2 linked regions of the Mus musculus genome follow. The protein of the gene in region 1 purifies or fractionates together with the protein of each later gene. This does not show direct contact. Links are inferred from orthologs where the notes say so. Each region holds a gene or a part of one and is shown in the gene's direction. Other genes may lie near its edges.

Region 1 (3,312 bases):
CAAAAGAGCCTCCGTTTGTCCGAAAGTCTGCCCTGGAGCAGCCAGAGACAGGGAAGGCCAGCACAGATGGGGCCACAGCCACGGACAGATACAATAGCTACAACCGGCCCCGGCCCAAGGCCACAGCAGCCCCCACTGCTGCCTCATCCACCCCGCCCCCTGAGGGGGCCACACCCCAGCCTGGGGTACACAACCTGCCAGTGCCCACTCTCTTTGGGACTGTAAAGCCGGCCCCCAAAACAGGCACAGGGAGCCCCTTTGCTGGCAACAGCCCTGCCCGTGAGGGTGAGCAGGATGCAGGATCCCTGAAGGACGTTTTTAAAGGCTTTGACCCCACAGCCTCCCCCTTCTGCCAGTAGTGTCACTGGGGGCCAGTGCTCCCTCCACTCCACCACCCTCCCAGGGTGACATTTAAGGGCAGCAACCAGAGTTACAGGCGGGAGGTGGGGCAGGTGGGCAGGGTGTTCTTTCTTCACATTTTTCTTCCCTTTTTTCCCCATTTTTAAATAGTACTTTCTTTGAGTCATAAATTGTATCTAACCATCTTGGGTTCTGGTCAGTGCTGCAGGCTCCTGGGCTCCCCTCTGCCCAGTGAGCAACTTATACCCTGCACTGGATAGTGGCAAGTACCCAGCCTGGGACTTCCCTGGAACTGAGGGATGCATAGCTGTCTGGGGAAGCACTGACGGCCACTCACTCACCCTGTGCTGCTGCAAGTTTGACAGAACCACATCACATCGTGGAGAAGCTGGTGCAGGAGTTCCTAGAGCCCCAGGGTCAACTGTCCTCTCTAGCATGCAGCCTGTGACAGCTTGCTTCAGGACAAAGCAACAGTGAAGTGAGAAAATGTCAACAGGAGAGAAAGGGCCCGGCAACCCTCTGGCCCTAACCTGCTCTAGCCTGTACATCCCACATCCTCCGTCCGTCTGTCCATCCAGGGTTTGTCTGTCCTGAAAGTGACACCCACCAGCTCTGCGGGAGACTCTTGGTAGACAGACCTGTGGGGTAGCAGGCCTGGCAGGAGTGGGACAGCCCCTTGAAGCATTCTCCCTCAGTATTACCTACCCTGTGCCACTGGCCTGACCCTCGAGACAGCTCAAGGATCCGTGGTGTGGCCACCTGCCAGACCCCCAAGGAGAGAGGCCAAGAGTGGCCCTGGCACAGTGTGTCTGCTAGCTGCTTCCACACCCCTTAGCCATGTTATCTGTAGAGTACCGGATAGTGTTTGCTTTTTCCTCCCAAGCTGACAGAAGCTGGGCATCAGTGATCTGTTGTGTTGGATTAATAGGTCCTTCCCCAAATGGGACCTGAGGAAATAGCAGGTGTCCAGCTGATGTGTTGGGCCTTTTCTAGGAAAGGGACCAAGCCCCTTCAAGTGGGGAGGCCCAGAGTTACCTGCCATATCCCACATAGTGGAGGCGTTCCCGCAGCCGCCACCACTAGCCTCCTTAGGGCTGGCCTTGTCCAAAGAATGGGGGTGGGAGCGCCAAGGGGCAGAGACTCTCCTTGACCCTCTCCCTAAGGTTGGATCAGGGAACTGGGTAAGACCTGCAGAAGGTTTCTCTGAGTCACTCACCAGGCCCTACAAGTCCGCTTTCTTGCAGGCTGCCTCTTTTATATTGGGTCTCTTGGCCCAACTGCTTCCTTCTTGTTAATAAGGAGACCTGACGCACACAGCCAGTGGATTCCCCTCCACCTCGGGAGGGGACAGGCTCCCACATCCCATCCCACCCTCCACACCCCAAAGAGAAATCCCTTCAAAACAGTTTGGGGCCTGTAGCCAGGGTGGGAGGGGCTTGTGCCCCACAGCCTCACAACCCTTGGGGTCAGTGCACCAAGATCAAGTTGGTTGGTTTGTCTTGTGTTTTTTATTTTGTTTTATTTTCTTAAACAATCATCAATGAGATTTGTCTTTGGGCCCCAGCCTTGGCCACGAGGCCCTGAGGCCAAGGCTGGGGCCCTGGTGAGCATAGGATAGGTAGGGTGAGTACAGTGTGGCAGTGTTTGGGTCCCGACACCCCTTTGAAAACCCCCTTTTTGTAAAAGCCAGGCTTGGTAGTGGGCACCTGTCATCCCAGCACTCAGGAGGCAGGGTCAGGAGGATTACAGGTTCAAAGCCAGTCTGGTCTATATTAGAAAAAGAAAACTGTCCTTTTGCTAAAGAAAAATTAAATGAATTTTTAAGGCTGAAATCTGTGGGTAAGATGGAGTCTGGAGCTTTCCTCTTGGAACAGTTAACCGAAGACCCTCATGGGCAAGGACATCCGCTTGACTCCCCACTCACCATCAGGCCACACTTTTAAAGAAAAATTGTTCTCTAACCAGGATTGTAACAAATGTGTAAATAGTATTTCTGAGTTGAAAGTCGATGGTGCAAATATGTATATAACGTACTGTATTTTTACAATGATCGTCGCATGGCTCTCCCACCCCCTTTTGTACTCAGTATCTGTCTTCCAGAAACCTCACCTGCCTTCTCTCTCATGTGGTCTCTTAATCCAGTAATTGTATTACTGCCATTAAAGGATGCAGTTATTTTAAACAGTCTGTGAGTCTAGTCTCATCTCTGCCCTGTCAGGGAACAAAGAAGGAGGGTGGGGAGTTGTCTGGTTTGTTTCATTACAGTGAGATGAAGGCCAGGGTTTCATGCATTCTGGGGAGCACCAGGCCTGGTACATTCCCCAGCCCTCAGACACTCAAATAACAGTGATAACCAATGCAGGTGTGCAGGCATGTGATCCTAGCACTTAGGAGGCTAAGGCAGGAGGATGCAGAGTTTGAGGCCAGCTTGGGCTAGACCTGAGATGAAAGGAAAAAAAAAAAAATCAGTCATGTAAGACTTCATATAACTAGAACCCTGATTATACATTCAGAAATGCATGCAGGCTGCCTGTGGCTGTATTTACCCACCTACTGTGCTCTCAGCCCTCTGACAGTCTCCAGGTTGGCCTTGAATTCCTGAAACTCGGCCTTCAATTCCTGTGTGCTAGGTTTCTAGGTACACACTAACAAGCTAACTACCATCTCTCTCTGTGTGTGTACAGAATGCACACACAAACCCTTACAAATATTACCCTACTGAAGATGGTTTAACTTGGCCTTTAACAAGTTGTACCGGTTCAGTGAACTTTGAATTTGGATCTTTGTCCAGCCTAGCAAGCCTAGGTTAATTGTCTTTTTTTTTTTTTCTTTTGAGAGTTTCATTGGCCTTCATATAGCCAAGGATGATCATGAACTCATGAATTTCCCATCTCTTATCTTCCAAGTGCTAAGGCATGTGGCACCTTACCAGCTGTGTGTAGGGCTCTATGC
Region 2 (4,577 bases), on another chromosome or scaffold:
TGGCATCTCCTGGGTATATTTGCTTCCCAAATGCTGATATAAAAGAACAGCTTTGCCCAGGAATTAGGAGTCAATTTACCCTTAATAACAGGTTCTACCTAGAAGAAATTACACAAATTTGTAGTCACAGAACAGCACCCCCCCAAAACAAATTCAGTATGTTGATCAATTATATTTGTGAAAATATCAAGTAGATGGGCCACACAGCAAAGCTGTATAGTAGGGAAATTATAGATTTCAGGTGATGTTACAGCCATCTTAGCTTTAGGGTGAATGAAGCTAAACTGAATGATGTCTCTCGAGAAATTTATTAGGAGAATGTTGGAAGTTAGAGTAAATGGCTATTTAAAGTCTAAAGCAAGGCCACCTTAGAAGGCTCAGAAGGTAAAAGCATGTGTGCACGCACTCACAGACACACACACACACTAGTTTTTAAAGAGGCCTAAAATAGTTCCAGATCCTTTGCCTACATTTGATGTCTCCACAATTGCGATGTTGTAGTCAGCCAGTCTGCAGGATCTTTATTGTAGATGCTCTTCAGAAAACTTCAGTTCCCACAGCAAGTCGGGCACATGGCACCAGATCTGTCCTTGCTATCTCAAGCTCCATAGCAGCCTGGATCACCTGGATCACCTAAACTCAAAGGCAATCACTGGGGATTGAGTGCAACCACCTGTGGAAGGTTTTTCTAGAACAGATTTGCAATTTGGAAAGTTGCCATCCATTCAGGTTTCACTCAAACTGGTTCCTTCCCTTCCTCACACCCCGGAACAGATTGTAGCCAGGAACTCTGCCCTTTGTCAGGAGACAACTGCAGTACAAACTTACAATCTTGTCGTTTTCCCTCAGCCAACCACTTCCAGTTCTATCTAGCTACCTTTTTTCTTTAACCTAAGAACCTGAGATGCAACCCCCCCGCACATTTTTCAAGAAGGCTCCATTTTTTTCTCGTGTTCCATTTCGTCGTTTGTCAACCCAGGTTATAAGGGACTCTGGTTGTCATGCCTTTGCAATCACCTGCCAGTGAGTGAAATGTCCCTTCCTAAGGTTCCCCCTCCTCCCGCACTAGAAGTTAGGGATCTTCATGCGCTTCGACTCTCATTAAATTTTAAAAGAAGTTCCAAGCTTCTGAAGTTTAATATAAACCCAGTTGAAAATGCCACTTAAAACTTCGTGCAAGTGTATGTTGTACATCACTCAACTAACAAATCGAAGCCTCCTGGCTCGGCCGTGCAGTGGTTAAGTCAGTCGGTGATGGGTTCACCTGATTCACACCCACACACGAGCAGGCCTCTCCGCCAGGTCCTGCGGCCTCAGAGACACCAGCGTCTCCCCGGGGCTTGAGAGCACCCACAAAGGCACTAGCCCCGAGGCGACCTCAAGTCCTGCCCTCGAGAGAGAGGGTTTAGATGCTCCACGCCCGCAGGTTCACACCCCAGAACCGCGGGCTCCAGCTCCGGGGCCTCAGCAACGGGAGGCCGCCCCGCTGACGTCATCGTCCCGCCCCCCCTCCCCCAGCTCGCGCCTCCGTTCCCTCCCCGCCCCCTTTCCCGGCGTCCGCCGCGACACAAGCTCCTCGCCCTCTGATTTTGCTTCTCCCTTCAAGATGGCGGACACAATGAGCCGGCGGAGCGCCGGTTGGCCCTGAATTGACTCCGGAGAAGAACGGTCAGCGAGGTCCCGTCGTCCGGGCGAGAGAGCGTCGCCTGAGGAAGAGGACGCGGCAGCCCCACTGTCAGCCGTCCTTCGGTTCGTCTCCAGCGCGGCGCCCGCACCGCCGGGGTTGGCCCTGAGCAGCCCGCCCGATCGCTCGCCTCTCGGCCCCGCCCCGGCCCTGCGCCGCCGCTGCCTTCAGCAGCAGCAGCCGCCGCCGCCATGAAGCTGACCGACAGCGTGCTCCGGAGCTTCCGCGTCGCCAAGGTGTTCCGCGAGAACTCAGACAAGATCAACTGCTTTGACTTTAGTCCCAATGGCGAGACGGTCATCTCTAGCAGCGATGATGACTCCATCGTGCTCTATGACTGCCAGGAGGGCAAGTGAGTGTGATAGTGGCCGAGTTCCAAGTGCCCCTCTCCTTCCCTCTGTCGCTGGTCCCCGACTGAGCCCCCACCCCCAACCCCAGGCATGTGGTGCAGGCGCTCTTGCCAGGGCCACCTCCATCCCGCAGTGCTGCAGGAGATCCTCTTTAAGATGATGATGGTTCTTAGTTCATGTGTCTTTGCTCTCTTCCGAGCGCGCTTTTCCCGCTTGCCAAACCCCACCTTGACCTTGACCTTTAAACGCCATGTCCCTGCACCCTGCAGCCGGACGGATAGCCCTTTCCACTCCCCTGGCGACTGTCAGAATGTGCGGGTGGACTCTGAGCTCGATGCAGAACGGCAGGAGCTGTGTTCTGTCCATCAGTGGCGTCCAGCTCTCTGCCTTCACAGCAGTGACCTGGATTCAGCCCTGGCACGGTGCCCGCCCCCTACCCCTCAGCTTCCCGCGCGGCTTTTCTGCAATCAAGCCCCGCGGGATGCAGTTTTTAAGCTGTCAGGATTTATCGATTGTGCCCATGTGAGCTTGCTGTCCTTTCCCAGTACCAATACCCAGGCTTACAGTTAACTTACTAAACAGACTCTTGGAAACTTTTCTTTGCCAGACTCCTGAGAACTTGGCCGCCCCATTCTGGTCAGAATGTGAGCTCTCTTTAAAACAAAGAAAGCATTCCGGAACAATTTAGTGTTTCCTTTTGCATTACAAAAAAAACCCAAGTTTGGCCGCTTAGCCAGTAATCTCAGCATTTGGGCGATAGAGGCAGTCAGACCCTGAGTTCTGGACTTCATAGCAGAGAGACCCTGACTCAAAACAGTTAAAAAACAAAAAACAATAACCGCCAGATTGTGGTTTGCTTATAGTTATCAAAGTTTTGGAATTCTGGAACTGGTTATGGAAATTATGTTAGTTGGAGAACTTGTGTATCTTTGCCGTTTTCATAGCCTGGGTGTGAGGAAGACATTGCCTGTCTCATCTCTGGAAGTTCAAATCCTCGATAAGTAAGCAGTGACCTCTTTTGTAGCAGAAACTAGTTTAGGCTAAATTTGATTCCCTTTGTCAACTTCAGCTTCCTTCCTAAGCAGGAGGTGTTTAGTTTAATAGCTACTGTTTTCGACATTATGTTAAAGTTACCTGTTTTTGAATCCTTGGCTTTTTCTCTCCTTTTTGCAGCTGTTCTCTTTGTTTATTATTTTTTTCAAATAATAGTTTTCTTTTGGAACTTGTCTCTGAGTTTATCTAAAGTAAAGCTATTGTAGAATGAGCTGTATATGATATTGTCCTTGATGGGTTTCCTCGCTGGAGCTCCAACAAAGTATTACGTAACTGTCGTTGGACTTGAGCTTGCTGTATGTGGGAGAGTTTCCTACAGTGGTGATCCTGGGGAAGAGAAAATTACTAACTGGACAAATAGTTATTTGAATTGATGTTCATATTTGTGTATTGATTATTATCATACACTGGTCTGACTATTTGATTCTGTTTGGAACTACAAGTAATTTGAAATTGGTTTGTCTGACATGTTTGGTGCAATACATAGCTTAGAATCTCCCCCCCAAATCTGTAATGGAAATGCATATCCTATTCAAAGGAATAAAACACTAAGACTGAAAAAAATGTTTATTCAGGCATGTAACCTTTTTACATGATTACAAACTTACAGAAAGTTACAATGCTCCAAAGAACTTTCTTGAAAAAAGAACGTGTCCAGCAGTGCCTATAATTTCAGCGCTTGGGAGCTGGGGGTGCGAATCCAAGGCAGCTTGAACAGCTGTCCCAAAAAGGAAATGTAAGGGCTGGAGATGGCTACAGGCACTTGCTCTTAGAGAGGAACAAGTGGACTCCTACACCTTGTAACCATCTGTAACTAGTTCCAGGGGATTTGACCCCTAATTCTGATTTCTTGAGAGATGGCTCAGCTGTTAAGAGCACCTCTTCCACAGGTCCTGAGTTCAATTCCCAGCAACCACATGGTGGCTCACAACCATCTATAATGGGATCCAATGCCCTCTTCTGGTGTGTCTGAAGTCAGCTACAAGGGTACTCCTATAAATAACATAAAGAAGTCTTCATAAAGAGAGAAGTTTGTGGGGGGAAAAAAGTCCAGGAGCTAGAGAGATGGCTAACATGTGGTTAAGAGCGCATGTTAATTTTGCAGAGAACCTAGGTTAATCAGCAGCACCCACGTGGAGGCTCACAATTACATTTAACTCCAGTTGCAGGGGATCTGATGTTCTCTTCTGGATTCCATGTGCATCAGACCTGCATAGGGTGCCCATATATACAAGCAAGCAGACAAAATGCTCATATACATAAAATCAGTAAATGTAAAAATATATATGTATAGAAGAATAATCCAATAATTCCAACAGTAGAAGAAAATAACTGTTTCTTTGGAAGTAACATCTTTATTAGATAATACCAGTAGTAGAATTTGGGTATTTGAAAATAGCTAAAACACAGCTGATTTTTGTTTGTTGTTTTTAAGATACTACACCCCACAGTGGAACTTTGTCTGTAGCTATAGTGCTGGTTGGCTTCCA

The links.
Region 2: the proteins of Zc3h4 (region 1) and Wdr82 purify together in Homo sapiens (affinity purification with western blotting; 4 studies listed by BioGRID and IntAct, with this or other methods). This does not show direct contact. The link is inferred for Mus musculus from reciprocal best matches to the Homo sapiens genes ZC3H4 and WDR82.

Annotation. Positions count from the first base shown.
Region 1 is NC_000073.6:16,435,152-16,438,463, forward strand, and holds the end of Zc3h4 (zinc finger CCCH domain-containing protein 4), read left to right. Parts: coding exon 1-359; 3' UTR 360-2,545; downstream 2,546-3,312. UniProt on the Homo sapiens protein: RNA-binding protein that suppresses transcription of long non-coding RNAs (lncRNAs). LncRNAs are defined as transcripts more than 200 nucleotides that are not translated into protein.
Region 2 is NC_000075.6:106,169,344-106,173,920, forward strand, and holds the start of Wdr82 (WD repeat-containing protein 82), read left to right. Parts: upstream 1-1,585; 5' UTR 1,586-1,875; coding exon 1,876-2,036; intron 2,037-4,577. UniProt on the Homo sapiens protein: Regulatory component of the SET1/COMPASS complex implicated in the tethering of this complex to transcriptional start sites of active genes.